Ovis aries: one gene and its partner. The protein of the gene in region 2 purifies or fractionates together with the protein of the main gene of each other region. This does not show direct contact. Links are inferred from orthologs where the notes say so. Each region holds a gene or a part of one and is shown on either strand. Other genes may lie near its edges.

Region 1 (15,668 bases), on a different chromosome or scaffold from region 2:
ACAATGGCCTGGAAAGCAACAGCTAACAAGGGAATCAGATGTTCACCTAATGAACCTCCCTTGGAACACCAAGGAAGCCTGATGAACTCAGCAAGATCCTACAGAACAATCTTCCCCTACTTCTTACCTATGTGAGCATCAATCTCTACAATTTTCTCAATGCTGCTGGGCTCCATGAGTGGAGAGGTAATTCTCTTCTCCACAGCTAGGCATACACCCTCTGATGTCTGGATCCCGATGGCTGTGGAACCAAGCTAAAGAAAAACAGGTTATGTTATCATGGAGAAGCCAAAGAATAGTCTCACCTACTCACCAGACATCTCTCTGTATATCTTCACAGGACTGAAGCTTCAATCAGCCATAGCTAGTACACAGAGAGAACAGGAGTCCCCTAATAAATAATGTACTATTCCTGTCAGTGACAAGACCATTGATTTACAGAATTCTGTGCTTGTAAAGGGGAAGTTTTATTATAAGGTATTCAAAATGTCTGGAAAACAATCAACTCTGGCGCCAGTTTTTTGGAGACGGGCAGGTTCTAAAGTCCTAAACATAGTGGATGAGAAATAATACAACTGTAATGTTGCTTTTGGACTTGGTATCTTTTTACCTCTGCTACCTTGAATTATCCCAAAAGGTGATATCCCTCAAATGTATGTGACCTCCAGAAAAAAAATTTTACTTAAAAAAATTTTTTAAAAAAGTAAAGAAAGAAAAAGAAACATCACCAACAACATAAAAATCTCTCTCAAGGTCACTAGCAGTCTACAATATAGCTTGATTTCATCCTTCCAGCTGCACAACACCATCCTAGTCACCCACCCTTCATCTCACATCTGCAAAATGGGGGTAATAATATCTATCCATCAAGAAGGGTAAACACACTAATACATAAAATACTTAAAATGGCAACTTGCACATAATAAACAAGCAACAGATGTTAGCTGTTTTATGTGCCAAGATGACTTCAACAGCCTCCTACTTAGTCTCCCCATCTTTAATCTCTCTCCCAATGCATTGTTCATGGATAGCCTAACTGATACAATAATATGCTATTTTCATTATACTTCTTCTGTGAAGAACCAATGTCTCCCTATACTACCTACACATAAAATCCAAGCAAGCTTCCAGAGTTCTCAAAACCTAACCATACTTTTCTCTTCCAACTTTATTACACATTATCCTCTAACCAGATCCTCCTGTTGCAGCCAAATCCATTTCCTCATGCCATGTCATCCCCTGCATCTGCACCTCTGCCATGCCGTCACCCCTGGAATATACTCTTCCCCTTTCCAATCCAAATCCCACCCCATCATTCGTAACGTCTCCCAGGACTATATGTGCTCGCTTCTCTAAATAGCCATTTTTTTCACTTAGTTCTACAAAGCAATGACTGTCAGTGTGAGCATCAGGTTCCTGGAGTCTGTTATCGCAAAGTATTTGAACGAATTTCATGAATCATTGTGCACAACATGCTTTCAACACATATGTAGACTGAATGATCATAGCTCATACATATCTGTATTCCTTTTCAAATGTACGAAGTTATGACCTTATTTTTTGTTGTTGTTGAGTCACTAAGTTGGGTCCGACTTTTTGTGACCCCATGGATGCATGCCAGGCTCCATGGGGCTGTCCAGGCAAGAATACTGGAGTGGGTTGCCATTACATTATTTAGAAGTGTTACTAAACGTATATACCTGCTTTTCATTGTATATTTTATTAATCCACAGTATATGCATAAATGCTAGAAATGAACTGCCAAAGAATTTTATGTAAAAAATGAATGCTCTTACTTCTGAGTAAAGGCGTAGACTGAATATGTACATTAGCTCCACTCCTTCCCCAAGCCTGAGGATAGGAGATTAAAGGGCTTAAGCATGGGTAGGATAAACATACTAGGACAAAGAGAAAGGCAAAGCCACAGAAACAACAACATTTTCAAAAAAGAAGGTGGGCAAGTGATAATTTACTTAGCAGACACAAGAAACCCAAATCCTCAGCTAAGTAAAGAAAGTACAAAAGCAACCTGATTTATATCACAGGACCACCCCACTACTGGTGCTCAAAAAGGGAATGATGGCAACAAGGATCTCTGGGAATAGAAGTGGAACAGCTAAAAATTACAAGATTAGTTCAGTGTGTGCTTAAGAAACAGATTTCTAGATCCCTTACCCCACACTGTAAAGCTAGAGTATGCCCCCCACTCCCACTCTTGCAGACGACTCTGGAAAGCATAAAATGAGGGTGCGTCTACATTGGAGGACACCAAGCACCATTCAAAGGTAGGAGTACTACTGTCAAAACAAGGGGATTAAGTAAAAATTGACAAGCTTAATGTTACAAATCCCAGCCTTCTTCCCCTACACTGCTCTCGGAAGTGAGTAGCCAAAAATACCCTTCAGGCATGATATGAGAAGAGGCAGTTTTCTCTACAGCAGGAGTTTTCAAATTTTCTGATCAAATCTACATTAAGAAATACATTCTACATCAAGGACCAAAATGTACAAATAGATACAAAGAAACAAATAGAAACAAAGTTTCATGAAAATAAGAAAAGAAATCACCAACACTCTGGGCAAGGCATCCTGAAATCCATGGCTCCATTCCACTTAAAAAGAGAGATGCTCCTACTACCTGCTAAATTGACCCAATGCCCACTAATTCAAGATCTGCAGTTCAAAAAAATGTATCTAAAGAATCTAGCTAGTTTAAGGGTACAAAAAAATCTAACGAAAAAAAAATTTTTTTAATCCTTGAAGAATTAAAGGATTCTTAATTCTTTAATAAAGCAGACATGAGAAATCCAAATCCTAAGCTAAGCAAAGAAAGTCCAGAAGCAACCTGATTTATATCATATCATTTTAAGGATAAAATGATAAAACAATGCAAGAGAGAGCTAAAGGAAGATGACAACGGAAGATCGTAAATGCACAGCCATGCCACAGGCCCAGAGAATCAGCCAGGCTGGAGCAGGTCATAGGCTCAAAGATTTCTTAAGAATCTTTTAACGGGATACTTAATGTGCCTGGGTGTTTTGAAAGGATATGCATAACCTGGAGAACTTGGGGATGAATTATTGATATTTACATACCAAATCAGGCAAATTTTTAAAGAAGAATTATTAACTCTCAGGAAAACAATATTGTGAGGAAACAGAAAAACAGCTCAGGTAGCTGGTCCATCATTTTCTGCCTACTATCTATTACAATGCTTCCACCTTCACTTCTACACCTTCAACTAAGAATCTGCTTTGCCCTTTTCCAGACTGTCATACAACCATTTCCCCAATATACACTTTTTAGAAAAGGTAATTTAGAGGGAAACACAACAGTTCTCTTCAAATATGTGGGCAATTGTCTTATGGAAGAGGTTTAAACATCTTGTATGGTTCAAGGGTAAAACTAGGGCCAATTGAAGAAAATTTCATGAAGCTAGACTCAATTCAATACAGGATAAATTTCTAAACCATTATGACCTATTTTCAAACAGAATGGGCTATCTAGTGAGAAAATATTCTGTCACTAGAACTACAAAAACAACCTGTTTGGGGATGTAAAGGTGATTGAAACAGTGAAGAGCTGGACTAGATCAGTAATTCTCAACCCTTGCTAGACACTAGAATCACCAAGGGAGTCCTTAAAATACTGATGCCTGGACCTCATTCTCCTCGACCTAACTTAGGTTTAAATCAGAATTCAGACTATCCACAATCCAACAAAGAGAAGATCCCACATAACTAAATTCCAGTATACAGTTTACTTTCTAACTTTTTGAAAACTGGTTTGAACTATTCAATTTTGTTGTTAGATTACAGAACACATCTCTTATTCAGTCCCAAAAATATCTAGTACAAATTGACAAATTTACCAACAAGAATACAGGCGATCAGTTAAATAATTTGTTCAAGATGACAAAATACCTCGCAGGTGCTAACTCAGGAATTTTATACCCCTCTCTTTATAGTTAAGAACATTACAAACACAAACATGTCCTTCCAACCCTACTAAGAAAAAGCTACTTACATAACTGTGAAGAAGTAATTTGTTTAAAAAGCTTTCAAATAGTTGGGACTCAATCAGTTATAAAAAAGTTTAATTGTGCCCAACACTGTAAATCAACTATACTTCAATTAAAATATTTTTATAGTTAACTGTGATTGATTAAAGGGAGATAAAGAACATTTTCTAAAGAAATTATTTAAATACATTTACTCCAAATGCTCTGCCAGCAAAGCATTAAACATGAAATTTCAAAAACTATCCCACTTGATACTACTTGATACTATACCTTGATAGCTTCAATGGCATATTCGACTTGAAATAATCTTCCTTCAGGAGAAAAAGTATTCACACCCCTATAATTTAAAGAAAAAAAGGTATTAAAATTTTCAGAGAAAAGAAAAAAACACACACACAAAAAAACCACATAGAGACATTAAACTCAAGTTCCCTGACATCTAGCTCGGATGTGCATATTGTCATTATTCTCTTTTAACCACAACAAGCTTCTATTTTCTGGGTACATTAACAGTTTTTCAAGAGAATGGAACCTATGTACAGAACACTTCTGTCCCACTCTCAGAGTATCTTCAAACTGACCAAATGAGAGTAGGCGACTTTCTGCCTCAAGCCTGAATCAATTTGGAATCCCTTTGGTAAATTCATGCCCCCAAACTATCAGGTAATTCTTAAGAAAACGTGCATTTATCCTTATCCTCTTTCCATTATGTGCATTTGACATTTCTTTTTAGTAGAAGTCAGCCACAGGGGCATTTCTCTGGTTATTCGAATGAACTAGTATTGTTATCGGAACAACAGACAGATCTGTGTGGTTCCTAAAACCTAACCTGATTAATTCACTCAGTATATTATCTAATTATATGCCAGAATGCTCTTCTCCCTTAAACAATTCCCAACCTTTCCTTGCTCCGGTCTGTTAGAAATTCCTTTGGAGAAGAGGCAGCATAGTATTAGCTATACAAGCTTTCAGCACGTGATGGACACTAAGAATATTTGAACAAATAAAAGCAAATAGTTGTGTTCCTTGGTTTATGGAATCTGGAGTTTATAACATGTAACTATCATGACAAAGAGCAGTGTTTTCAAATTTATCAAAAACTTTCTTCCCCTAAAAGAAATGTGTGTGTGTAACTCCCAAACATAAAACAGATAATAAAGGCTGATGTTTACTGCATGTCTACTATATGCCTAGCACTGTTATAATCCTAGAAATGACAGCACACTTAATCCTCAATCCCATGAAGTAAACTAAAGCAGATACTATTTTAGAGAAGAGGAAATTGAGACACAAAGAGGTGGAGTAATTTGCCCAAAGTCACTCAGCATATAAGAATCAGAGCTGGAATGAGAATTTAGTCAATCCGACTACAGAGATGAAGCTTCTAACTATCAGGACTCAAAGGAGAATCTCACCATTCCAGCCTCTCATTTTCCCCAGAGGTGCTTTCCTCAAGGTCATTTAAAAGGAAATTTATGACTCTAAAGAACAGTTTTTTAAAAATCAGTGAGAAGGAAGTCAGGGCAGAAGATCTGGGATTAAATTCTAGTTGTGTCACCTACTAACTTTCCTTCTCTCAAATGCAAAAAAAAAAAAAAAAAAAAACACCCTACCTATCCTGCTTCTATCACAATACAATTGGTATTGAATGGCACAGATTATGAAAGTGAAAGTTTAGTCGCTTAGTCGTCTGACTCTTTGCCACCCCATAGACTGTAGCCTACCAGGCTCCTCCGTCCACGGGAATTTCCAGGCAAGAGTACTGGAGTGGGGTGCCATTTCCTTCTCCAGAGGATCTTCCTGACCCAGGGATCGAATCTGGATTTCCCACATGGTAGGCAGACGCTTTACGGTCTGAGCCACCAAATTACTCTGTGAATATGAATACAGTATTTTCGCTCTAATTCAGGAACTTCATCCTGGTGAAGTATTCCCATATCTTCTCTAATATGGGCTCTGCTCTTGGCCCTCTTTTCAAACCTTCCCTGGGTTATTTCATCTATACTAAGCACTAACTACTTCCAAATCTCTATTGCCAGTTTGACCTCTTTCCTCGTTAAGCTGAATGTCTTCTGAGTGTTTCCACATGGATATCCCATTAATACCAAACACTTAACACTTTCCAATCTGATAAATCTTAAATCCAGTCATCCTTTCGAAATCGGCTCCACCTGCTGCCATTCCTACTTCATTGTTTACTTTGAAACACCTCCCTGCTCCCAGTTTCCCAAGCGAGAAAGTTCTGAATGACCTGACTCAGTGCTTCCCTTCTCCCGTATTAGTGCACAAGTGCCCAGTCTCTTCAGTCGTGCTGGACTCTGCAACCCCACCGACTGGAGTCCAGCAGGCTCCTCTCTGTCTGTGGGATTTTCCAGGCAAGAATACTGGAGTGGGTTGCCATTTCCTCCTCCAGGGGATCTTCCCGACCAAAGGATGAACCTCCAGCTCCTGCATGGGCAGGCAGATTCTTTACCGCTGAGCCACCTGGGAAGCCCTTTCCCATATTAACCATATGCCAAGTCATATTAATTTAAATCAGTTCCTCCCCCACAGTAACTCAATTCTCCCTTCCATTCTCAATGCCCTCATTACCTTTCACCTAACTATAACAGCCATCTAACCGGTATTGACTCTTTCCTCTAATTCAGTCAATTAGTTCCTATAAATACAATTATGACTGTGTAACTTAAAATGACAATTAATGGCACAAAATAAGACCCAAACCCTTCAACTTCAAATTAAAAGCCACCCAATACCTAGCACCAGTGTTTTTCTCTGAACTCCCTATTCCCATATGCGCATTGTATGTGCCAGAAGCCTAGAATTTTCTCAAACATGAACTGTGTTTTCTCACGGCCCCTCCTCTGTTCATCTTATATTCTCTGCCTCAAAACTATTGACTCTTACTGTGCATATTTATTAAATTCTTACTCCTGAACTCAGTTTAAATATCAACTCCTTCTAAAGTTTTCCATAATCCCCTTATAATATCAAATGCAACCTCTGTCATTAAAACTCCCATAGTGTTGATTTCAGCTTCTCTAATGACATGAACACATTTCTGACTTATACTGTAGTTACTTTTGTAAACAGCGGGGTTTTTTTTTTTTGGCCATACCTCATAGCTTATAGGATCTGTTCCCTAACCAGGGATCCAACCTGCACCCTCAGCAGTGAAAGCCCAGAATTCTAACCACTGGACCACCAGAGAATTTTCCTGTTAAGTAGTTTTTAAAGGACAGTCTCCCATATGAGAACAAGGATCTTGATTTTTTTCACTGCTATATGATCAGCAACTAAAACAGTGCCTTGTACACAGCAAGCATTTAAGTATATTAGCCAAGCAGACTATATTTTAGGCATTCTTATGAAGATACAATGAAGGAGGAAATGGCAACCCACTCCAGTATCCTTGTCTGGAGAATCCCCTGGATAGAAGAGCCTGGTGGGCTACAGTCCATGCGGTCGCAGAGAGTCAGACACGAGTAAAGCGACTCAACACAAACGCAGGAAGATACAAAAATGAGTAACACGAAGCAGTTAATAAAGCTGTTAAGTAAATGATCACAAAAACCTTAATAAAGGTTTTCTGATAAGGACAATTTCCATCATACACACCCTTACTCAAAACTGTATCACACAAAGACGATTCTCTTCAATGTTTTAGAAAATACCGACCAACAAAGTCATTTTATAGGACAGTAGAAAAAAAGTCAGTTTTAAAGCCTCACATACATCTTATGAGTCAGTAAAAATTTTTTTTAGAAGTAGCAGTTCTAGGTGATAAGACTTTCAACAAGATCAACATATACTTGAGAAGAAATGCAGCTTCTCAAAGCCATCTAATAAAGAGAAAACATCTGCCTTTCCTGGCCTCAAAAATTTTTAAGCAACTTAATAGCTAGCTATGTGAATCATACCTGATCAAAACAGAAACTGAAAGTAAAAATGTCTACAGCATAAGTAGAACAACTTAATATTAACATTCCCAAGCTCTGAAAGTTTTTTAAAGATACAACAATCTCACAGCTTTGATTTCAAAAACAGGTTTGGTTTTCGACACACTTAGAGCAACTTCCCTTAAACTTTTTAAAAATTCAAAAAGGCTATTTGAATCAGCATGATGACAAAACTCTTGAGAATCACTCTAAATTTCAGTTCCCACAAAATCTGACTCCAGACACTGTGTCTTGGCAAAGCTGAGACTTCCTTCGCTCCTCTGCAGAAACTAAACATCCCAGGACGCCCTACTACAACTCAATCAAAGGAATAGCACCTTTATTCCCACAACTAAGAAACGGAAAACGAGGCTGTCCTCCTAGAAAGAAAAGGGAGCTGAAATCATCAAACCCATTAAGTGATCCCTAATTGCTTTTTCTTCCAGGTAGCGCGTTTACATCTTTTAAAAGGCAGTCACACTCAGCACAAAAAGAAGGGGAGAGAGGGTGACTCCTGGCCTTCCCCGGGTTAAAGGTCAGAGTTCCGGCCCCATCAGCCTTCTTTTCCGAAGCACAAAGCGGAGCTTCACGCTTCCGCACCGACTTGGGACCCAGCAGTGACTCAGCGGTAGGACAACTGAGGCCGATGGGCGCAAATCTAGCCTTGGAGAACACAGCGGACGCCTGGGGAAGGGAGGAAACCCCCTGGCTGGGCCAGAATTCGGGTTCGTGGGGGTGCCCCGATGACACGGCAGAACCCAGGCCCAGACCGGGCCCCGCGTCCGCCCACCCGTTACCTGACCCCCTCTCCCCTCCCCCCCAGCCATACAGACCTGTCGTACTCAGACCGGGTGAGAAACATGGTAAGGGCAGGAGAAAGCGGCAGTGGCTACTCCGGGATTCTTAGAGCCAACACGAGTCCACCTGCAACCAACTCACCCACACCGCCACACTGCCAGGGCCACTCTCCCAGCTGCGCGTGCGCTCGCCACCCTTCAGCCCGCCCTCCCGTACCTGTCTCTTATTGGTTGATCGGAGTTCCCGCCGAGGTGATTGGGCCAACGAGCTAACCCGCCGGGCCTCCGGTGGCCCAGGGTGGGCGGGACAAAGGTCGTTCTTCCGTTTTAAATCGCTAGTGGTTGCCAGGGGCGCTCGGAACTGAAGGCGTGTGGTCAACCTGTCCCAAGATTGTCGACTGGGTAATTTTATGGCGAGCCGGACTGTCTGAACCCTGGTTTGATGGGTCCCTATCAGAGAGCGTTTGTCCCAGGCTCTCCTCGCTGTCCACCCGCCCGGCTGTTAGCTGTATTCCCCGCTCTTCCGGCTCTGGCGCAGACTTCCCTCCAGGTGCTGTGACTGCCTGCAGGACTGAACTTGGGAAATGCTTGCGTCTGCACCGGTGCTGTGAGCGAGTCCATTCACTTCAGCTCACCCTTCCCATGGCTCGTTTGTTGAGAAAAGTTGGTGAGTTTTAGTTGGTAGGAAGGTCTTGAAGTTTCCCCATGGCCAGGGTAATTTTACAGGAAGTCTCCTACATAGGAAATTTCAAAGTTGAAAGTTGCAAACTTTCAAAGGTGGGAAGTGCCTTCCCCTGTCCAGTTACCTAAGATAGTTCACATTGTCACATGTGTGCGTCCTTTACAAGTGGTTTTGCTTTTGTGTTCTTTACAGTAGTATATAGAGTACAGTAGTATAGTATCTTTATTTGAAGGCCAAGATATCCCGAAGTGAGCTAAAGCAGTGGTGATGTAGCTGGTACTACTGTACTTTCCAAGGTACTGTACCATAGATTAAAAGTGTTTTCTTTATTTTTTTTGTGTTTGTTTTTTATATATTAGTGTGAAAAGTATTTAGAAACCTATTACAGTACAGTACTATATAGCCGATTGTGTTAGTTGGATGCTTAGGCTAACTTTGTTGGACTTACTAACACGCTCTTGGAAGGGAACTCATTCATGTGTAGGGGACTTCCATTCTTACCCCCCAGCCACTAGTACTACAGGCTTTCAACCTAGTGACCCAGAGCTCTGGATCTGGGATTCAAATTGTTCACTGCTTTTTCTATTATCCATGAATTAACTGGCAGCAATGTCTTGTTTGTTTTTCTAACTTACCTTCCCTAAGGGTAGGAGAGCACACTCACAGCTTCATAGAAAGCTGTAAATGATACGTTCAAGAAAGATAGCCAGTTAGGAAGTCATTTAGTGCGTGGTGTATGACTGAAAGAGAAACGCCAGCGTTCCATTGTTGGTTAATAATATACCACTGGTCAAGGCCTCAACCTCTCCAGGCCTGTTTCTCTCAAATTCCTGACTTGGCCTCAGATTAGGTTTGTAAATGATCAAGGCAATTCAGTGTTAAGGGAAATATAGAAACAAGCCTTCTGAGTATTGGTATCTGTTTTCCCCATCCTTTATGTCCTTCCCTCATGAGTTCAACTGGAATTTTGTTTTGTGTCCTCCAGCCAGTAAGAAGTTTGACGCTGATAAAACTGAGGAGAAATTCCAAGAGCAATTCTCAGACGTCTTTTAGATTTATCCCTCAGGTTTCTGGTCAGCTTAATATGGCCTTTCTATTATAAAGGCCATAGTTAAGCTGCATTATGCTTTGTTAAGTTCATTATGCTTTCTCTTCTGAAGTTCTTTTGAAATATACCGTGAGTCTGAGTGAACTCCGGGAGTTGGTGATGGACAGGGAGGCCTGGCATGTGTGATTCATGGGGTCGCAAAGAGTCGGACACGACTGAGCGACTGAACTGAACTGAACTGAACTATTTATACATACCTACATAAATATTACCTATGTATCTAAATAGGTTGTTGTTGTTTTTCAATCACTAAGTCCTGTCTGACTCTTGTGATGCCATGGACTACAGCTACAGCCCACTAAGCTCCTCTGTCCATGGGATTTCCCAGGCAAGAATACTGCAGTGGATTGCCATTTCCTTCTCCAGGGGATCTTCCAGACCCAGGGATCAAACTACATTGCGGGCGGGTTCTTTACTGCTGAGCCACCAGGGAAGCTCACTTAAAGCATAATAATATATCCTGAACATCCAGGGATGCAGGGTGCTCTGCAGCCCTTATTAATATCAGATATTATGGTGAATGTCTCAAAAAATTATTTGAATGTAGAATTCTCAGGGTAAATGTGCTTGTGCCCTATATATCATAAGTGAAAGGAAGCTGCAGGTAGCTCTGATTGTGGATAAGAAGGGAAATCTTGTTTTCTCCCAAGAAAGTAGACCATTAGGGCATAAAAATCCAGCACCTACTGTAGTTTATTGCCCGTAATCAATCCCGTTCAATAAATGTTTCATCGAAAGTTGAACTGGATATCCCTCTGAAAAAAAATAATAAGGAAGCCATAGGCAGAAAGGAAAGGAATGAAGTAAACAGAGAATGAGCTGGACTCAAAAAATAGAAAGACATATAAACACCTTGGAGAGCTAGGCACATGGGTCCTGGAGCAAAATAAAGTGTGGCAGGACAGCCAGAGTGGACTGGAAACACTACGCAAAGAAACCAGTAAGAAGTGGTCCCTAAACGAAATTCTTTATGTGCCCGTAGTTGTCTGGCTTATAAATGACTGCACATGGCTGCTCATGTGGTTCATTGCTGTAACGTTTGGGACTCCTCTGATGGGCAGTTTTGACTGGAGGACCCACCAGCCTAACTTAGAGTTTCTTCAATTTGTGCTGCAGTCTGAGACCTGCCTACTCAATCCTTTCCTTTTTCTCTGCATAGATGTCAGGTATGTGACTTCACAGTCACAGTTTGCAGACTTTACCACCTTCCCTTCTCCTTTTCCTTTTATCTTTGAGAGATAGCTCCCCTAATAAATATCTTGCATGTTATTATGGGTTGAATTGTGATTTCCCCAAGATCCATATGTTGAAGGATCCATATGTTGAAGCCCTAAACACACAGTACCTCAGAATGTGACTGTATTTGGAGATGAGTCTTTGAAAGACATAAGTTAAAATGAACCTGTTAAGGTGAACCCTAACCCAGTTTGCCTGATTGCTTAAAAGTAGAGGAAATTTGGACACGTAAGGAGACACTTGGGGTATGTGTGCAGAGGAAGGGCCATGCTGCAAAAGTGGCCATCTGCAAGCCAAGGATGGAGGCCCCGAAAGAAACCAAACCTGTTGACATCTTGATCTTGGACCTCTAGCCTCCAAAAGAGTGAGAAATAAGTTTCTATTGTTTAAGCCACCCAGCCCTAGCTGATGTACATGTCAAATCACACTTTGGCAACTGCCTCTTAGAGGGCCCAAACTAGCACAGGTGGTACCAGGAGAGGTCCAGGAAAACATAGAAAGTGGAGAAAGTGTGACTGGCACACTCACTACCTTGTAAACAAAGATGACGCTTTCCTGAGTAGTATAAGGGCATGGGTACTTACTAACACAGTTGGTGATCCAGTTGCTAAAGGTTTAATCATTAGTAACCTGGCTTCCCTGCTAACTCAGACAGTAAAGAATCCGCCTGCAATGCGGGAGACCAGGATTTGATCCCTGGGTTGGGAAGATCCCCTGAAGGAGGACATGGCAACCCACTCCAGTATTCTTGTCTGAAGAATCGCCATGGACAGAGGAGCTTGGTGAGCTACAGTCCATGGGGTCGCAAAGTGTTGGACATGACCGAGCGACTAAGAACAACCTGGGAACACATCCTAGTGGAGGAGAAAGCCCTTGCAGGTACAATTTCAGGCATGTGAAATGCATGGTGGTTGGGGGAGAAACATGCCTGTAAGGGCAGTTACTGGTTACTGCACTTGTAGTGACACTCTGGAAAGGAATAAGGAGAAAGCAAGGGTTCTCCCTTGGATAATGGTTGAGAATGAGAGACAGTGGGCCTCTTTAGTAGCTTTCAAAGAGGCTTTTATCTCCTATCATGGAAGAGCTGACAGTTAAGCCACTGACTCGAGACATCAAAGAGACAACAGGTCAGGGCCCCAGTTGAGAAAACCTGAAACAAGAGATAGTGCATCTGAATGGACGTCTGTAAGGACGTTAGTTCTGCAAGCCCCGCATGAACTCTCAAAATTTGCAGAGGTGGTTTGCCTCTTCTTATTACTCCCTTCATGCTGAAAGACACTGCAGAGCCACTGCCCCACAAGGCAACATAGAAGCCTCTACCTCCTCCTCTACTGGCTGCCAGGGCAGTAGTAGTAGTTGCTCAGTCGTGTCTGACTCTTTGCGACCCCATGGACTGTAGCCCGCCAGGCTCCTCTGTCCATGGGATTCTCTAGGCAAAAATACTGGAGTGGGTTGCCATTTCCTCCTCCAGGATTTACTAGAGTTAAGTCCTACCGAAGCCCAGCTGAGAACATACATGGCCTGATACAGAAGGAAAGAGATTATATACAAAGAGCTGTAAGAATTAGCATATACAGACAGAAGCCAGGAGAGCATCCTGCGGTTGAATTTTGAGGTTGCTTGATCGAAGGGGCTGGACTATAAGACTACAATCAGGAATTCATTGAATTAGGAGCACTTTCTGGAGGCACAGGATTTAACACCATAGCCAAAACCCTTGGGGATGAAACAAACTGCAGGGGGGATTTTAGGAACCTAGAGAAAGTGATGGCCAATGCTGAGTAAAGTAGAAATGTCTCAGTTGCCCTGGCATGTGGTAGAAGAATGAATAAAAAGACAGGGAAGTGGGCCTGCAGGAATAGGTGTGAGGCCAGAGGACCCATCAGAGGATTATGTTCCACAGGAAGACCCAGGAAACACACCATTCACTAAGGCCGTCAGAAATCCTCTGGTGAGGGGCAAGAGCATCACCAAGGAGTTCTCTGCAGTCTGGGCTGACATAGGACCAGTCTGGGGTTGGAACAGAGCTGGGATTGATTAATAACTATGGGAATGATATCCCCCTTCCCCCAAGAAATATAGGCCAGATGGTGGCATTTAATCACTGGGAGGCCACAAATATTAAAAAGATTAGCAACATCTGACAAGATTGTCAGCCAAGGGCCTTGACCCACGGGGAATTATGGAGACGGATATAGAGCCTAGCATCTCTAGAGGTAAAGTTAACATCTACAACCAAAAACAGGCCAAGATGGAAAAATAGGAGACTGAAGATGGTCCCCCTCACCCCCAACCCTAGCTAAAAATTCATTATCCCTTGTTCAGTGTCTGGATTTGGGCCACTTTTCAGATCAGAAATCCGTTGACTAAGAGATGGCAGATCCTGCATCACTTCAGCAAGTTATACATGTAATAATTCTCCAGTCCTTCCCCAAAGAGACCTGTGGCCATTTACTATAGTGACTGCACATGTGGAAGAGGGAAAACCAGAAAATTGACTCAAAAAGTGGATTTCAGTACCCTGAGACCCAAGCATTGTCACGGCCCCCTGTTAGACTGGAAGCTTATGAGGGCCTTGTGGTAAATGGGGTCCTTGCTAAAGTCAGTAACAGTGGGTCCATGGTGTCTGTTGGCCCACCCAATGATCATTTCTTCAGTTCCTGTGTATGTAATTGGAATTGATCTATTTGACAGTTAGGTGCGAGAGCACCTGAATCTTAAATCTTTGTAACTAGGCTCAAACATCTTTATTAATCGAAACAGGAACCATTACAGTCTATACATTTTTGCCAACAAGAAATAAATTTATTTATCCCTATCATATAAAAATCCATGCTTCAGGATTAGGCAAACTCTTGGAAAGCATTTTCTGCATCCTGCTGCTTGTGGGAACATTTTCCCTGCAAAAAGTTGTCAGGCTGCTTGAAGAGGTGGTAGTTGGTTGGCAAGAGGTCAGGTGAATATGGTGGATGAGGCAAAACTTTGTAGCCCAACTCATCCAACTTTTGAAGCATCGGTTATGTTATGCGATGTGTGGTCGGGCATTGTCATGGAGAAGAATTGGGCCCTTTCTGTTGACCAATGCTAGCTGCAAGCGTTACAGTTTTCAGTGCATCTCATCAATTGGCTGAGCATGCTTCCCAGGTGTAATGGTTTTGCTGGGATTCAGAAAGCTGTAGTGGGTCAGACCACCAGCAGACCATCAAACAGTGACCCTGACCCTTAATTTTTTTGGTACAAGTTTGGCTTTGGAAAGTGCTTTGGAGCTTCTCGGTCCAACCACTAAGCTGATCATCACCAGTTGTCACGTAAAATCCACTTTTCATTGCATGTTACAGTCTGATTGAGAAATGGTTCATTGTTGTTGCACAGAATAAGAGAAGATGACTCTTCAAAATGACAGTTCTTTTTGATTTGCAGTCAGCTTATAAGACACCCACTTATTGAACTTTTTCACTTTTCCAATTTGCTTCAAATGCCTAATGACCATAGAATGGTCAGTGTAGAGCTCTTGGGCAACTTCCCGTATAGTTGTAAGAGGATCAGCTTTGATGGTTCAGTTGGTCATTGTCAACTTTAGATGGCAGGCCACCACACTCCTCATATTCAAGGCTCCTGTCTCCTTTGCAAAACTTCTTGAACCACCACTGCAGTGTATATTAGCACTTCTTGGGAGAAATGTATTGTTGACCTTGCAAGTTGTGCTGCTTTATGACCCATTTTGAACTTGAGTAAGAAAATCGCTTTTATTTGCTTTTTTTGTCTAACATGATTTCCATAGTTTAAAATATATATAAAATACATAGCAAGTAATAATTCATTAGCAAAAAAACAGAGCAAGAAATGTACGTTAAAATGATGAATAACATAACCACATTTAAGAATAT
Region 2 (15,468 bases):
GAACGAAGAGGCAGCCTGGGCTGACGGGGGTTGGGGGGAGGGGGACGCGGGACAGGACAGGGCGGGGGTGGAGCCCGGCCCGCCCCGCTGACCCGTGCGCCCCGCAGGTGCGGCGGGCTGGGGCTGGTGCTGGCCAGCGCGGGCTTCGGCATGCTGACGGCGCCCATCATCGAGCTGCACAACCAGAAGGGCTACTTCCTGCACCACGTCATCTTCGCCTGCTGCACGCTCATCTGTATCATCTGCCTCCTGCTGCTGCCCGAGAGCCGGGGCCAGAGTCTGCCCGAGAGCATCCCCGACGGCGAGCACTACACGCGCCAGCCTCTCCTGCCGCCCCGGCGCGGCGAGCAGCCGCTGCTGCCCACCCACGCCGAGCTCAAGGACTACTCGGGGTTGCACGACGCGGCTGCCGCAGGCGACGGGCTGCCTGACGGCGCCACGGCCAATGGCGGGCGGCCCATGTAGCTGGGCGCGGCCGTGGGAGACCCCGCTCCGCGGAGGCTGGGGACCCGAGGGTGGGGGTGGGAGACACTGCAAAACTCTCGAGGAGCGCCCGCGTCTGAGGGAGCAGACCTAGCAGACGACCCTTCAGAGACTTTCTTTTCTGCCATGAAATGTTTGTATTTATTTTGGTCATTTTTACAAGAAGCACTTTATTCCCTTCCCTTCACTGATCTCAAAACGGAGCCCCCTCCTCGGGAAGGACGCGCGCGCGCAGGGACCGCGCAGCCCGGCTCCCGGGGGGTGCCCCTGCCCCCGAGCATTCCCACGGCTGCACTTTCCTCAGACTGAGATGTGAATGGTTAGGGTTTTGCTAAAGTCTCTGTGATGGTTTGTAAAGGTCTTTTCTGTAAGGGAAGAACTTCCGCTCTGTGTTAAGGAAAAGCAGCTCACAATCTCATTAAAACCAGCTTCGTCTCTACTTGGAGATCATCCTTTTATACTTGACCCGGAAGCTCTTCCAGGGGAAAAGCATCACCATTTCACCGGAAGTCGTAAATGATGAGTGGTGACATCGCCAAGGTCTTCCAGCGTAGGTCTGCCGGCTCCGCTCCCCAGCAGCCAGCGCCTCGCCTCCCGAGTCAGTGCTGGGCCCTCCTCCCGGTGCAGCTCCGCAGGAGAGGCCCCCGCGCCGCGCCGCCTCGCAGTCAGCGTTTCTGCAGCACGACTTGAATACCGGCTCCTTCCTGAACTAACACCGCACGGAAATCACCAGCCTGGAGGCCCCGGGGAGCCTGCGGGGGACCAGCCGTGCCCTCTGCTTCCCCTGGCCAGGAGCGAGCCTCGGGCGGGGCCTGACCGCAGCCTCGGAGGACATCGAGGCCGACCGAGAGAAGCAATAACCCACCGGAGCTCGCCCCGGCCCCGGCCCCGGCCCACTGTGCTAGGGCGCGCGTCGCGTTCCTCGCCTCGGCCTCCCGCCCGTCCAGGTTAGGCCCTCGGCTCCCGTCTGCGGCTGTTTCAGAAGCAGCGCAGGGGAGGCCAAGAAGCTACCCTCGCCAGCCAGGCGGGCACTGTCTTGCCGCAGCTCTGGCACCCGTCTGGGGACAGCCTGGGCTGCTCTGGAAGGCCCAGCCCCCAGCTCTGGGGCACGGCTTTGCCGTGGGCTGTTCTTCCAGGCAGAGTGTGGTCCCGGGTCTGCGCGAAGCCGCAAGTCAAGTTTCAGCGCGCAGTGGTGCAGCCCCCACGGCCAGGGAAGAGGTGAGCACAAGCCCCACGCTCCCCGCCTGACCCCCCGGCCTGTCTCCCCCCTGCCCCTCACTGTGCCCCTACAGGCTGGCTGACCCCGGCAGGGGCCGTGGGCTCAGGAGAACTTTGTGGGGAAGCAAGCAAACTCGCAGGCCTGCGTTCCAGCCCCTCCTGTGTCTCAGTCACTTCACTTCTGTTTCCATGGGCGGGTCACACTCACCTTCACCTCCAGGCCTGTCTGTCTGCTGCGCAAACTGGGAGGTGCCTCAGCCCTTCTCGCATGCTGGGCACAGGGCCCCCCCGGTCCAGGACAGGCCCACAGTGCAGGTCCCGGGACAGCAAGCGGGGTCCCCGGGCCCCACCCACCAGCTGTGCCTGCACCTGTGGCAGCAGCCCCAGGCCCTGCGTGGCCTCCCGCTGGCGGTGTAGACCTCTAGGGAACGCGTGAGGCCGCAGGGTGTCCCCGCACACCACTCCCAGACTGTCCGTCTTAGGTGACCGCGGTAGACGCTGGGCCTGTGGGGTCAGCACTGTCCCGTCACAGTCAGGCCCGGCTGCTGGACTGGAGAAGCTGGCTGAGCTGGGCTCCTGCAGGCGTGAGGGCGGCACTGCCCAGCAGAGGCCTGTGGCAGCACAGGCTCGGGTTTTGTGAGCAACAGCTGAGAAGCAGGGACAAAGCAGAAAAGCCTCCCGTGGGCCAAGCCCCCGAGACCCCACCCGCGTGGGCAAGGCAGCAGGGCCCGCCTGCTTGGCCAGGCTCTGGTCACGCGTGGGCCCCCGCCCATGTCCTCTGCACTCAGCAGGGAGATGCTGCTCAGGCACCTGAATGCCCGCTGCCCGGGAGACCAGCGCCACCCAGCGCCGCCTCCAGCGCCAACCTGCACACCCCCATCCCGACCCCAGGAAGCCAGGACCCCCTTCCAACAAGTCAGGCACACAAGCGACCCTTCTGCTTTCTGTTCTTTTCCAGAAACCAGTAACAACTCATCCAATATCCCGCATATTACCACCCGAAACAAAGGGTAAAAGAGTTTAAATGTCTCATTTTCTAAGAGCCTAATCACTTGCGACTAGGGGGAAGGGGCTGGTGAGCTGGTTCGACCACAGAAGAGCAAGAATGAGGCCTTGCAGCGGAAGTACTGCCCCAGGTACCACTTCCTACAGCCAAACAAGGGGGCCGAGGGGCCACAAGACTGAGGGGACCCTGGCCAGGACGCAGCCCCGGGCCGGGGGGACACAGCGCGCCGGCCTTGCTGGGGGGCCCTCTGTGCCCCACAGCCCCGACCTGGAGGCTCCTGGGCGGGACCCATGCAGCCCGTGAGTGGACAGGCCCCCTGGAGTGCCTGCTGGCAGCACAAAGCTTCGCCCGGCCCTGACCCAGCCTTCCATGCTGCCTGCATGCCGTCACGGCTGTTGTACCCCGGGGGGGATCTGTGTAAATGTACAGAAATAAAGACGTTGCCCCATTAACACACCTCCTCTGGAATGTCTTCCCTACCTCATCCGGTGGGATCCCCTACAGGGCATTTCACGACCACTGGCTACAAGGAATAAACCCTGTTGCTTCAGGTCTCACCGTGTCTCTGCCTCAGCGCCCGTGTGACCCCAGCCCCGGCCCTGCCCCAGGACGGCGGTGGGGGGGCTCCTGGCCGGGCGGAGGCAGGGCGGGGTGACTGCCCACCACGTGCTGAGTGCCGCCCTCAGACCCCCGAGGAGGGGGCGGCAGGTTTCCGAGCTCGCCCCTCTCGTGTGGACGTCCTGCTGACCTCACCCAGGGCCTGGAGCCTCCCGAGGAGGGAACGATTCTCACACTGTGACTGTCAGGGAAGACAGCACCCAGAGCTCTCTTTAATGTAGTGTTTTTTTTTAACAAGAAAGCAATATTTCTTTAATAAAGTATTTATACCAAACTCTCCTCTCCATAGCCCTGATTTTGTTACCTACTCCGCCCAGAGAGATGCCCGCCGTACCTCCAAGCCGTGACTGGCCGGGGCTGGCAGGTTAGTGGCTTAGCCCGGGACCCGGTCCCTGGAAGGGCCTTTCATCCCAGCTGTCCCAGCTCAGCTGTGGGCACTGGCCGGACACGACACCTGCCACCACGTGAAACGAGCTCCAGGGTCCCAGACCACCACCTCCCAGGACAGAAGGGGCCCACGTGGACCCCAAGCATCAGAGTCCTGTGCTGGCAGCACGCGGGGCACTCTCCAGGCCCACAAAGCAGGGGCCGCCGGACTCTGGGGAGGAAGCTGTGAAAACTCCCCAGGGACGTGACTGGAAGCCAAGTGAGGAACCACCAACCCAGGAACTCCAGCTTCCGGAGAGCAGCACGTGTCCCAGAGAGACTGACGCCACCGTGAGCCACGGAAAAACGCTGAGGATTAAGATGTGGGCAGAGGGGGACGTGGGCGGGAGGGGCCCGGGGCATGAAGGAGAGAGCAGACAGAAGGAAAGACGGCTGGCGGAAGCATGGGGAGGGGCTGACGCTGGGATGTTCAGCGAAGCAGGTAAGCCCGGGACCCAGGTCCTAGGGACCCCGGCACCCAGGGTTTGCAGAGCGTTTCTGGCGATAACCCAGCCCGGTGAGACGGTTCCCACCTACCAGGTGAGGGGACAGGGCCCAGCGGAGCAAGACCCAGGGGATGGAGCCAGCAGGACGGCCTGACAGTCGTGGCCCATGCCCTCTCTCGGACCGGGCGGCCCCCCATCCTCGCACATCTTGCTGGGGCCCTCCTCCCGGGACCCACCCCGGTGACAGGAGGGAGGAGGCCAGCCCTTTAAACACAAACAGGAACTCGTGGACCTGTGCCGCAGTGGATCCAGGCTGTTTATTCAAGCGTCCCCGGTGCCCGAGTCTCTCCGGCTAGAACTTCTCCGGAAAGGCCTGCATTTCCTCCTTGATCCGGTTTTCTACCAGCAACTCGAAGCTGCTACTGGTGTTTGGAAGGTTATAACTGACGAAGACCTGCTTGCTGGTCTTCCTGGCTGAAAGAGAGAGACCACAGGGACGCGTGTGACCCCACGCCTGCCCGTAGCAGAGAAAGGCCTGGGAAAGGCAGGCTTTTCGAGAGCGAAGAAAGCTCTGACTCCGACGACATCACGGGCAACTGCTGCAAAACAGACCAGCTGCCAGAGCCTGCCGGCGTCGGGAAGAGCAGCTCTGAGAGCCACGGCCCCGAGGCCCAGTGAGGCGCACCCCCAGCCCCCGAGTCTGCTCAAGGACCCCGGTGTCTGTGAGCCCCTGCGCTACACACAGGCCGGCTGCTCCGCGTCTTCAAAGCGCAGATAATGTCCACAGATTTAAAATATAAAGGTCCTTCAATACGACCCTCTCCCCCAACCCCACCACCCTCCTCCCAGAGGAGCTGACACTCCTCATGAACGTGTGTGCGGGTGTGCACACACGCGCACACACACGGGTGTGGTTTTCAATTGGACGCTGAGCACACGTCTGAGCCCCTTTCTACAGAACCACCCAGGGCAGGTGGGAGCAGCTCCAACCGTGAAAACCAACCTCAGCTGTAACCCCGGGTCCTGAGGACTAAGCGGGCGGTACCAGCCCCCTCACCTGGTCCCACCCCCGGGGCAAAGGCAAAGCGCTCCTCCCCACAGGCCACAGAGACAGATGAGTCCCACCATCAGAGGCAACAGTGGGCGGAGGGGGAAGCTGGGCCCTTCACATCACAGCAGCTCTGCGTTCAGTGGCAGAAAGTCCCTGTCCCCAGGGGCTGCTGACTCCCACCCCTTCACGCGCCAACCCCGAGCCCACCTTCCACGTCCGCCCAGCAGCCCCTCTGCCCTCCAGAGCCGCATGGAGCAAGGGGTCCCCATTCACGGGAAGCCCCCAGGGCCCCCAGGTCGCTCATCTCCCACACGAGATGGTCTCGGGACACTTGTCTCTTCAGCACCGTCCAGACAACCAGTAACAGTTAATAACGCCTTCCACTGCAGGGTCCAGACCCCAGCTCCAAAGGACAACAAGCAGGGCGTCCCAGGCCGGCCGGCCACGATCTCAGCAAGCATGTCACCTGCCCCGGGGGGCGCTGGCATCTCACCACATGCGTCTGACCCTGCTGGGCAGTGGGCTGGCATCTCACCACGCATGCCTATCCCTGCTGGGTGGTGGCCAATGGCTGCCAGGTTTGTGGATATCGGTAGGTAGGCGCCTCCATCACATCTGACCTAAGTTACAGAGGATGTCTGTATTCTGTTTCAGATTACATTGTTTGTAAACTGATGTAAACCACGTGAAAGAAAAATGCTAATTTAAAAAAACCCCAACATTTGCACAAAATGCAAAAAAAAAGATTAAAAGAGCCCCAGTTTACGCTCACAGATTGCCTCACCCCCAGGACACTGGGAGCCAGCTCATTCGTGTCTCCTCAAACGAGCTCCCACTGCCTCCACTCCCGGACTCTGTCCACACTCGGGGACCCCCCAGTCCGAGCTCCACACGCAGGCAGGCTCCCGCCCTCCTCCACCAGGCCCAGCAAACGGAGGTCTGGCTGCTGCGGGGGATGGTGTTACCCTGAAACGCAGGCACACACAGTGAAGCAAAAGGGCATCAGGGTTCCAACCCATTTCCACTGAAAACTAGCAACTCTGGCGAAGGCAGAGAAGGAAGAGCAGCACCTGGGAACCAGACGAAGGCGAAACAGGAAGCTTTCCTATTCTTCCTGCTGGTTATCTGTGGATTCAGAACTGCTTCCTGTTAAGAGGTCACCAAGATAACGTACTACTCGGGTTCCTATACCTTGAGACTAAAGCTCAAGTGTGGTGGATGGTCCTGAGACGCGGCCGCTGGCCCTGTGGTCTCCACCCCGTCTGGTGCGGCCTGTGGGCGCTGTGACAACCCCGCCCCTAGAAAGCTGCCATTCCCTGGGCTGCATGTGACTGTGGGGCGTCCCAGAGCGACCGGCACAGACATGCCCACTCCCCAGGGACCAGGCTGACAGATCTGTGAACACAGCCACAGGTAAGCGCCTCAAAACCATGGCAGGGGTCCCATCGCCACACCCCGGCAGGCACTGGGCTCCACACGTGGCCGGGACACTCAGGCCAGACGGGGGCGAGGCTGCTCTACCCACTGAGGTTCCCAAGCACCAGGGACCACCAGGCACGGGCATCCTCACCTGGACCAGCGAGGCATCTGCAGGACGTGTGCTCTGGGTACAGTGGAGGCTGGAGCCCCCAAACCTCGCCAGGCCCTCTCCCTTCGAGCTCTGAGCAGCATCACGTGCAGTGGATGCTACCTGGAGCCGCTGCCACTGGGCACCGTGGGCATCCCTCACCCTCGCCTCCCATGAGAACGAGGAGCAAAATCACCTGTCACTCATCGGCTCGGAGGCAACCAAGGCCATCGGAGCGGGTGGGGAGCAGGCCCCTGGAGAGGGTGCTGGCACCACCTCCTGAGACCTGTGCTCAAGGCCTGGGCTTCCTGCAGCAACCAGGGGGGTCACCTCCCAGACGGAGACCGTTCCTCCTACGCTGACTCACCTCCCCACTCCACTGAACAGCGAGGTCCCCACCTGGGCGCTCCGGCAGCTGAGCTGAAGAACTTACCTAAGCGCTGGGCGAGGCCGGTGGACATGGTGTCAGACGTGTCCCCGAGGAGGGCAGTGGACAGGGGGATGGAGTCCTGCAAGGAAAACAGAGCGATACTGGTTCCTCTGCGAGGTCCAGCGCTCCTGGATCACCTGGGCCCCCCTTCCTGCCACAGACCAGCCTCCCCCTGCAGTGGGCCTGTGTCCTCTCCCAGCAGCAGACAGGCCTGCCCAGGGAAGGGCTGGAGCAGCCCAGAGGGGCAAGTGGGTGCAAAGTCAGAGGGGCGGGGGCACCGCAGCCGTGATGGGGCCTGGAGGTCCATGCAGGCTCTGAACTCTTGGGGGTCTGAGCGGAGGGACAACAGCGCTGATGCTGTCAGTGCCAGGCTAAGCCAGGCCTGCAAGAGGAGTGTCCAGGTCCTAGCGTCCTGACCCCAGCACCTGCGAAGGTGACTTTATTTGGACACAGGGTCTCTGCAGATGTAGTTGAGATGTAAGCAAGGGGAGGTGGACTCTTCCTCTAACAGGACTGGTGTCTTAGGAAGAAGGGGAGAGACAGATGCACAGAGGAGGCCTGGGACACTGGAGCAGGACTGGGGTGATGAGGCTGCCAGACCAGGGGCCGCAAGGTGGGAACAGCGCCGCAAGGTGGGAGCAGCGCCGCAAGGTGGGAGCAGCGCTGCAAGCCCAGAAGCGGGAGGAAGCAGCCCGCTGACGCCTCGATTCCGCCTTCTCTGCTGTTCTCAAGCTCCCCGGGCTGCGGCCCTTGGTTACAGCAGCTCTGACACACGGTGGCAAAGGGGACCTCGGCCGACGGCAGCGATGGCGTGGGGCCCAGGTGACAGGTGAGGGAGGTGAGAAGTGGCCGGATTCTGCGGGAGGGGCGGCCTGGGGTCTGGAGCGCCCAGTGGGACACCAGTTACAGCCCGATGGGACGGCGGAGGGAAAGGGCGGGAGAGAGGTCCGTGCGGGAGATGTAAGCAAACGCGGTCAGCGGGGAGCCGGCAGAAAACCGGGGGGACACGCCACCCCCGGCCCAGGGAGGGTGAGAGCGGACAGCAGAGGTCCCACGGGGGCCCTGACACTCCAACCAGAGACGCGGGGTGGAGGGAACCAGCCGTGCGGAGGGACAGAGCCCCGCGGCGGGCGGCGCAGCCCCCGGCCCCTCCCCCACCCGCCCCGCCGGGACCCCAGCGCCCCTCCCCCTGCCTCCGCCCCCTCCCCCTGCCTCCGCCCCCTCCCCCTGCCTCCGCCCCCTCCCCTCCCCGCCCCTCCCCGCCCCCCGCCGCACTCACGTAGCGCGTGCACATGGCCACGGCGAGGTTGCGCAGGTGCGGCGTGGCCCCCACCCAGAGGAAGAGCGAGTCCGTCAGCCGCATCACGTGGAAGTGGACAAGCTGCTCCCACAGCCGCGCGCTGAAGTTGTGCAGGGACACGTCCCCGCCGGCGGCAGCCGCCGGCCGCTCCATCCGCACGGAGCCCGGCCGCGCCAACCCGCCCGCCGCCACCAGACGCCAGCAGGAGAGCGCCGAAAGGCCGAGTGGGCGGGGCCTTCCGGGAAGGCGGGGCCTGGGTGGGAAGTTGAGGGGCGGGCCCGGGAGGGGGCGGGGCGGGCCCGGGAGGGGGCGGGGCGGGCCCGGGAGGGGGCGGGGCGGGCCCGGGAGGGGGCGGGGCGGGCAGGCGTCTTCATTGGGCGCAGTGTAGACTCGCAGGAGCACCTTCCCGGGTATAGACGCATGATCTCGCGCTGTTTACTCGGTGCCACGAGCGCTCAGCGCTGCCGCCTGTGTCCCGCGAGCTGGATTACACTTTCTAAAACCCTCCTGCTGCCAGCAGCCCCGTAGCTGCAGGAGGCCCATGAGAATGGCAGCGATGTTGCAGGAGCTCTCAAAAGGAGAGCTGCGTGGACTGAGTTAGGGGCGTGGACTGAGTTAGGGGCGTGGGCTGACGCGCCTTTGGTCCGAGACAGCAGAGCTGACCCCTGTACAAGCGTGGGCCTCGGCTAACGGTTCAGCCCGAGACTCAGTCTCCCCATCTGCCTCAGAGACGGGGACGGGGGCCACTGTCAGCCCTGCTGGGGAGCTTGACTTGAGTCACTCTGGCACCCTTAGAGTTGACACAGGGACCCTGCAGTGTGTTGAGAGAGTGTCTTTGTAGTAAAAAGCACAGAGCGCCCATTCTTGTCAGATTCTGTTACAACTAACTTGGGCTTAAGGATAGAGATATCAGTTCTTCCTTTTAAATCCCTAACAGGTCTAAATTGAACTGACAGTTAAGAAAGTAAGTATTGTTAAAAAGCTTGCTCTGTTCGCTAATTAATGATTCAATCTATAATTTTCAGGTCAATATTATAATAGATTAACAGCTTTATTAAGAAACTACAATAACTGCACTGATCAAAGTCTACAAACTGAAGCTGTAACGCGTGTAACTCATAAAATCATCACCACAATCAAGAGGGTGCATGTCCATCACCCCCAGAGGCTTCCTCAAGCCCCTGGGAGCGCTTCCTGACCCCCACCCGGGACGCTGCGCTGCACTCAGTCACAGAGCAGTTTGCATTTTCTAGAGTTTTATGTAAATGGAACGTACAGTGTATACAGTGTTTTGTCTGCCGTTTCTCTCCTCACAGTTATTTTGAGATTCACGCAGGCTGTTACGAGTCAGTGATGATCCGGGTTCCGCTGGCTGGACACATCGCTGTGTGTTTAGCGGCCATGCGGTGGTGTCCACTTGGGCAGTTTTCAGTTTGGGGATGCTGCAGTTAAGCTGCTGCAAACACGTGTGAACAAGTAAGTCTCTGTGTGAACATGTGCTTTCATTTCTCGTAGTTAAAGACCTGGAGCAGAATGGTTGTACCGTGTGTGACTTCTTGAGAACCTGACAGACTGTTTCCACAGTGACTGTGCACTGTATGTCCCAGTCTGTTTCGTTTAGCCATCCTAAGGAGTATCTCAATGTAAGTTTAATTTGCACTTCCTTAATTAATAATGAACTTCAATTTATACATTACATCATACACAAAGTGAAGTCAAAATGGTTCAGAGACGTAAATGGGAAACCTAAAGCTGTCGGACTTGCAGAAGACATAGGGGAAAGTCTGTGACCTTTTATCAGACCAAGATTTCACAACAAAATACCAGAAGTGTGATCCATGAAAAAATAAGTCAACAAACTGGACTGACACAGCAGGTGATGTCACCCCACATTAACTCCTAATACCCTCTTAATGCCTTGTCCCCTTAGAAGACAAACGCCATTTTCAAATCAAGAGTTTCTCTCTCTAAAGAATCCTGAAGAGCTGTCTGAGAACCTAAGGCAACTAGCTAACCCCCTGTTCCCTGCCTCCTCCCCAGTCCAGCCCCAGCACAGGTGGGATTGTGCTCCTCTCTGTTCTTCCCACTGGGCTCAGATAACCACCAGGGAAGTCACATGACCCAGCAGGCAGGCTTACAACCTCTAACCACCCCATCAGCAGCTGTCCCTAACACGCTGCCCTGCGGGCCCCAGGATTGCACCCTCTCATTTGCCTCGAGGACGCTTCCCCTCAAGCCCTAACCCCACCAAGCCCAAGTTCACCACATAACCCAGCTTCTGCATTTAGAAAGAAAATCGAGGTTGTCAGGCTCAATTTCCCCAAGGCCTTGTCCCTCTACTCAAACCCATACCTTCCGGTGGCCTCATTCTTACCTCCTTCTCCCCCTCATTAAGCAGAGATGCCCCCTCCCTGTGTCCGAGGTTGATTCTTCCCTCTGTGCTCTGACCCTGCCCTCCTGCATGTCCTCAGGAACCCACCCCATCAACCATGCCAGTTCTGCAAACACTGTGGTGGCCTCTGAGATGTGCCACCCAGACCCCCTTCAAGAAAGGACTGGCTGTCCCAGCTGCTGGAACTGCCCAGAGCAGACAGCCTCCCGCTGTGGGCTCCTTCGGGGTCTGCACCCCCTCCCCAGGCAGCCCACACCCAGTGACTGACAGAAGCAGCTGCGGAAAGGCTAGGCCATTTCAGCTCAACACGGAACAACTGCGGGGGCCATTTTCATTCCAGACTGATGCTCTGCAGACGCTGAGCTCCACAAGGAGGCCCAGCCCCACCCCCACCGCCTGCCCTGTGCTCCCCCACCCTCCCTGACTTCCCTGCAGGAGAGCCCCCTGTCCGGAGGGAGGTTCGCTGACTCTGCCCAGTGGGGAGCCTCTCCTGGCCTGCCTTTTTACTTCGCACAGAGCAATCATTGGCACAATGTCCTTTTTCCTGCCCACCTTCCTTCTCAGGAAGCTTCTCGGGGCAGCTCCGGGGGCCCCTCACCTTGGGGTAGGTAGCTGGCAGGGCCCTGGGGGCACGGGGAAGATGGACTGAATGGTTGGGGGAGTGAGGGAGCTGGAGGAACAGCCAGGGACTTCACGGGGCTGCAGGCTCCTGGCCTGGCCCAGCTCTCGCTAGCGCTGTGTCCCTGCGCTGGGCCTCTGTTACCTTAGCTGGAAATGAAAAGACTGGCTTAGGTCACCTCCAGGGCCCCTTCCTGAAGCGACTTAGCAGCAGCAGCAAGGCGCCTTCCAGGGCTAGTGTCCTGTGAAGATCAGATAAGCATGCAGACGGGTAACAGGATCCTTCCACTCCAGGACAGGCAGGAGCCTGTAATTCTGCAGGGGGCCGCGGGGTGGCAGGTGGGAAGGAGGCGGGCCCCATGCAGAGCCGCCTTGGCTTTGCAGAGCAAAGGAAGGGCCTGGATCCTATCCTCAGGGTCAGTCTTTTCTCTAAACTGTTTAATTTTAGAACACTCAGGTAAAAGAGCAGGTCCTGGTTCCCACGCTGCCCACAGCCCCCAGATGCAAAGCCAGCAGCAGGAGGCTTCAGGAGAGATCAGCCTGCCAGCTGTGGGCTTGAAGAGGGGATGGGCCGGTGTTTCAACTCATCCCTCTCCTCTCTCTGCCACCCGTGTGGGTTGTGAGCCTCGGTCTGGTGTGAATTTCACCAAGAACTACAGGCTTTAGGTGATGGATAAGAGAACCGCCCATGGGGAAGACACCTATCAGCTTCCCCCCCGGGGGAGGAAAGGTGAGTCCCAGGTTCATGATGGGCCCCACCTGGAGATGCAGCTGTGCGCAGGCACGTGTGTGGCGTGTTCACAGCACAGTGAGTCACAAGAACATCCAGGATGTCAGCAGCATCACCACAGTCTCTCATGAGATCCTTGGGCCTTTAATCCAAAGTCAGACCCAAACTCTGCTATATGCCAGGTTAGTAATAGACCAGGTTACATGATGGTAATGTTTTAACCCTGAAACAGCAGTGCTGTGACGGAACCAACTCTCGTCTTCAGCTCACGATGTGTTTCTAGCTTGGACAAGAGGGTAGGAGGTGGGGGAGTGGGGGTACTGGGCTCCAGGTGCCACCTCGGGTCACAGCTGCAGTGCTGGGTCCAGCCTTTCAGTGCTCTGACCCAGAAGTGACGCATCACAGCCTCTTATAGCCCACTCACCGCAGATAGCCACCCGTCACTGTGGCTGGGCGTGGAGGGGTTCCAGGATGGGGGGCAGATGGAGTGTTGGATGAGCACCACTATTCTGCCACCGCAACAGAACAGCACGATTTTCTAAGAGTGATCACAACCAGTGCAGTCCAGATTTCCCAGGGCCCCGGGTCAGGAGGCGTGGCCCAAATGGTTAAACCACTCGAGTCATTTTCTAAACCGAAGAGTGTTCGATAATGCATGCCCTGCCCCAGATCTGTCCCACCCCCCGCCCCAACCCGAAAAACTTTCTCCAACTGAACCATTACATCCACTTCCATCCCGGGATTAAGTCCAGTCCTCCACACGCGGGCCCCGTCTCACGTCCAGGGCGGCACCAGCAGGTCGCATCTCTCTCCTGCATCTTTGACCCGCCCCTCCCTACTAGACGACTCCTGTCAGTGTGCAGACGCATCTTTAAACAGATCCCTGTCTCCCCACTGGCTCTGAGCGGCCCCACAACATGCCTGCCATTCCTCACCCTTGCCTTCTTGAACCTACTCCATCCAGCTGCCTTTCCGCGCCTGAGTGGGTCCCACCGACGCCACCAAAGACCTCGGCTGTGAGAGCCGTAGGCTGACACAGCCTCTCCCCTGCCCCGGCTGCTGCAGCTTCCAGCATGTCTCCTCCCTCCTGCCCCTTCTCAGGGTCCCCCCAGGTTCTGGGTCATGGTGGTCCCAGTCTCCCCAGCTCCAGGGCCCACTTGCTGCCCGAGCTGCTCTCCCTGCCAGGGGACCCCACCTCACAGCCCACACCGACCTCCCCCGAATTTGTGTCCCTGTAGGCAGCCTCCTTGCTGAGCTTCAACCCTATAAGTTCAGCTGCCCACCAAGCATTTCCATTCGAATGTGCCTAGAAACCTCTCATTTTCCAGGGGTCCCCCGGCAAGCTGGTTCCTCCAGTCTCCCAGTTTAGAACGTGGCCCCTGATTGTTAGGCATTCAGGCATCTCCCTGCTGGCTCTGCCCATCGCCTCCATCTGACGCAGACACTAACCTAAATGGTTCCCCCACCCCACGGCCTCCACCCTCATCTCAGCCCCTGGCCAGGTATCTATTCTCAGAATAGCAGGGTGAGTCCTTTAAGCAGCTCTCATCTTCCGTCATTTTTAAAATAAGAGGATTAGATTCTCCAACCAAAATTACCTAATGTGAGGAGTCTGTTTTCAGGGAAGACTTCTAAAAGGGGCTATCAGAACTATTCTGTGTGTGTGTGTGTGTGTGTGTGTGTGTGTGTTAGTTGCTCAGTCGTGCCCAACTCTTTGTGAACCCCATGGACAGAGGAGCCTGGAGGGCTCCATGGGATTCTCCAGGCAAGAATACTGGAATGGGTTGCTATTTCCTTCTCCAGGGATCTTCCCAACCGAGGACCTGAACCCGAGTCTCCTTCATTGCAGGCAGATTCTTTGCCATCTGAGCCACCGGGGAAGCCCCCATCAGTCTTTGAAGTCCCCAAAGGCCAGCGTTCCCAGTGCATCCGCCTCTCCCTTGCTCCTCAGGCAGCTCCCCTACTCTCTCTCCACGAATGCAGACAAAATATTTTTGCTGGCACCAACTGTCCCAGAACATTCCTTAGCACTGGCACGAAAGAAGAGCTCTGCCCAGGTTCTGACGTCATCAGGCTCAGGCACGAAAGGAAAACAAGATGACCCTGCTGGTGTGCTCCAGAGGAAGACAAACCTTCAGGAGGCAGAAGCAAGCTGAGCCATCACTGTTACCACGGATAGAACCCTCTATCGTGAGATTTTTCTGTAACTGCTTTTAAAATGTTCAGTTTCTTTACCAATTACACTTCAGCACAGCCCCACCCCACCCAGAGGTTAACCTGTTTAGCCTCTGCTGCAGACCAGCCGACCTCCTCACTTCACCTCCATCCTGGGCCCAGCAGGAGCCCCAGTTCTCATGGTTCTCTGGACGAACCATGCTGCTGCTGCTGCTGCTGCTGCTGCTGCTGCTGCTGCTGCTAAGTCACTTCATTCATGTCCGACTCTGTGCAACCCCATAGACGTAGACAGAAGCCCACCAGGCTTCCCCGTCCCTGGGATTCTCCAGGCAAGAACACTGGAGTGGGTTGCCATTCCCTTCTCCAACGCATGAAAGAGAAAAGTGAAAGGGAAGTCGCTCAGTCGTGTCCGACTCTTCACGACCCCATGGACTGCAGCCTATCAGGCTCCTCCGTCCATGGGATTTTCCAGGCAAGAGTACTAGAATGGGGTGCCACTGCCTTCTCCGGGAGGAACCATGAATGATGAATAAAATGGTTCCCCCAGTCTGGCTGGCCAGGGGTGTAGCCACGTGGGTGCCCACCCACAGGCCCAGGGAAGGTGGACACAAGCCCAGAATTCAGGAGCTAGAGCAGGAAAGGGCCTTCCAACAAGGGCAACGGCTGGGTGTCCTCACCCGGCTGACCCCTGCAGCTTCTAGGACTCACTGAGCTCTGGGCTAGAGGATGGCATCTGACCCCCCAGGCAGGGCTGCTGCTGCTAAGTCGCTTCAGTCGTGTCCAACTCTGTGCGACCCGGTAGACGGCCTCTCACCAGGCTCCCCCGTCCCTGGGATTCTCCAGGCAAGAACACTGGAGTGGGTTGCCATTTCCTTCTCCAATGCATGAAACTGAAAAGGAAAGGGAAGTTGCCCAGTCGAGTCCTACTCTTGGCGACCCCACGGACTACAGCCTACCAGGCTCCTCCGTCCATGGGATTTTCCAGGCAAGAGTACTGGAGTGAGGTGC

Evidence for each region.
Region 1: the proteins of PSMG4 (region 2) and PSMA5 purify together in Homo sapiens (co-immunoprecipitation; 3 studies listed by BioGRID and IntAct, with this or other methods). This does not show direct contact. The link is inferred for Ovis aries from reciprocal best matches to the Homo sapiens genes PSMG4 and PSMA5.

What each region holds. Positions count from the first base shown.
Region 1 is NC_056054.1:86,664,875-86,680,542, forward strand, and holds the start of PSMA5 (proteasome subunit alpha type-5), read right to left. Parts: upstream 8,934-15,668; 5' UTR 8,821-8,933; coding exon 8,792-8,820; intron 4,358-8,791; coding exon 4,291-4,357; intron 255-4,290; coding exon 128-254; intron 1-127. UniProt on the Homo sapiens protein: Component of the 20S core proteasome complex involved in the proteolytic degradation of most intracellular proteins. This complex plays numerous essential roles within the cell by associating with different regulatory particles.
Region 2 is NC_056073.1:49,577,134-49,592,601, forward strand, and holds PSMG4 (proteasome assembly chaperone 4), read right to left. Parts: upstream 8,772-15,468; 5' UTR 8,699-8,771; coding exon 8,525-8,698; intron 7,325-8,524; coding exon 7,249-7,324; intron 4,672-7,248; coding exon 4,550-4,671; 3' UTR 4,496-4,549; downstream 1-4,495. Other genes in the region: SLC22A23 (solute carrier family 22 member 23), read left to right, coding at 108-465. UniProt on the Homo sapiens protein: Chaperone protein which promotes assembly of the 20S proteasome.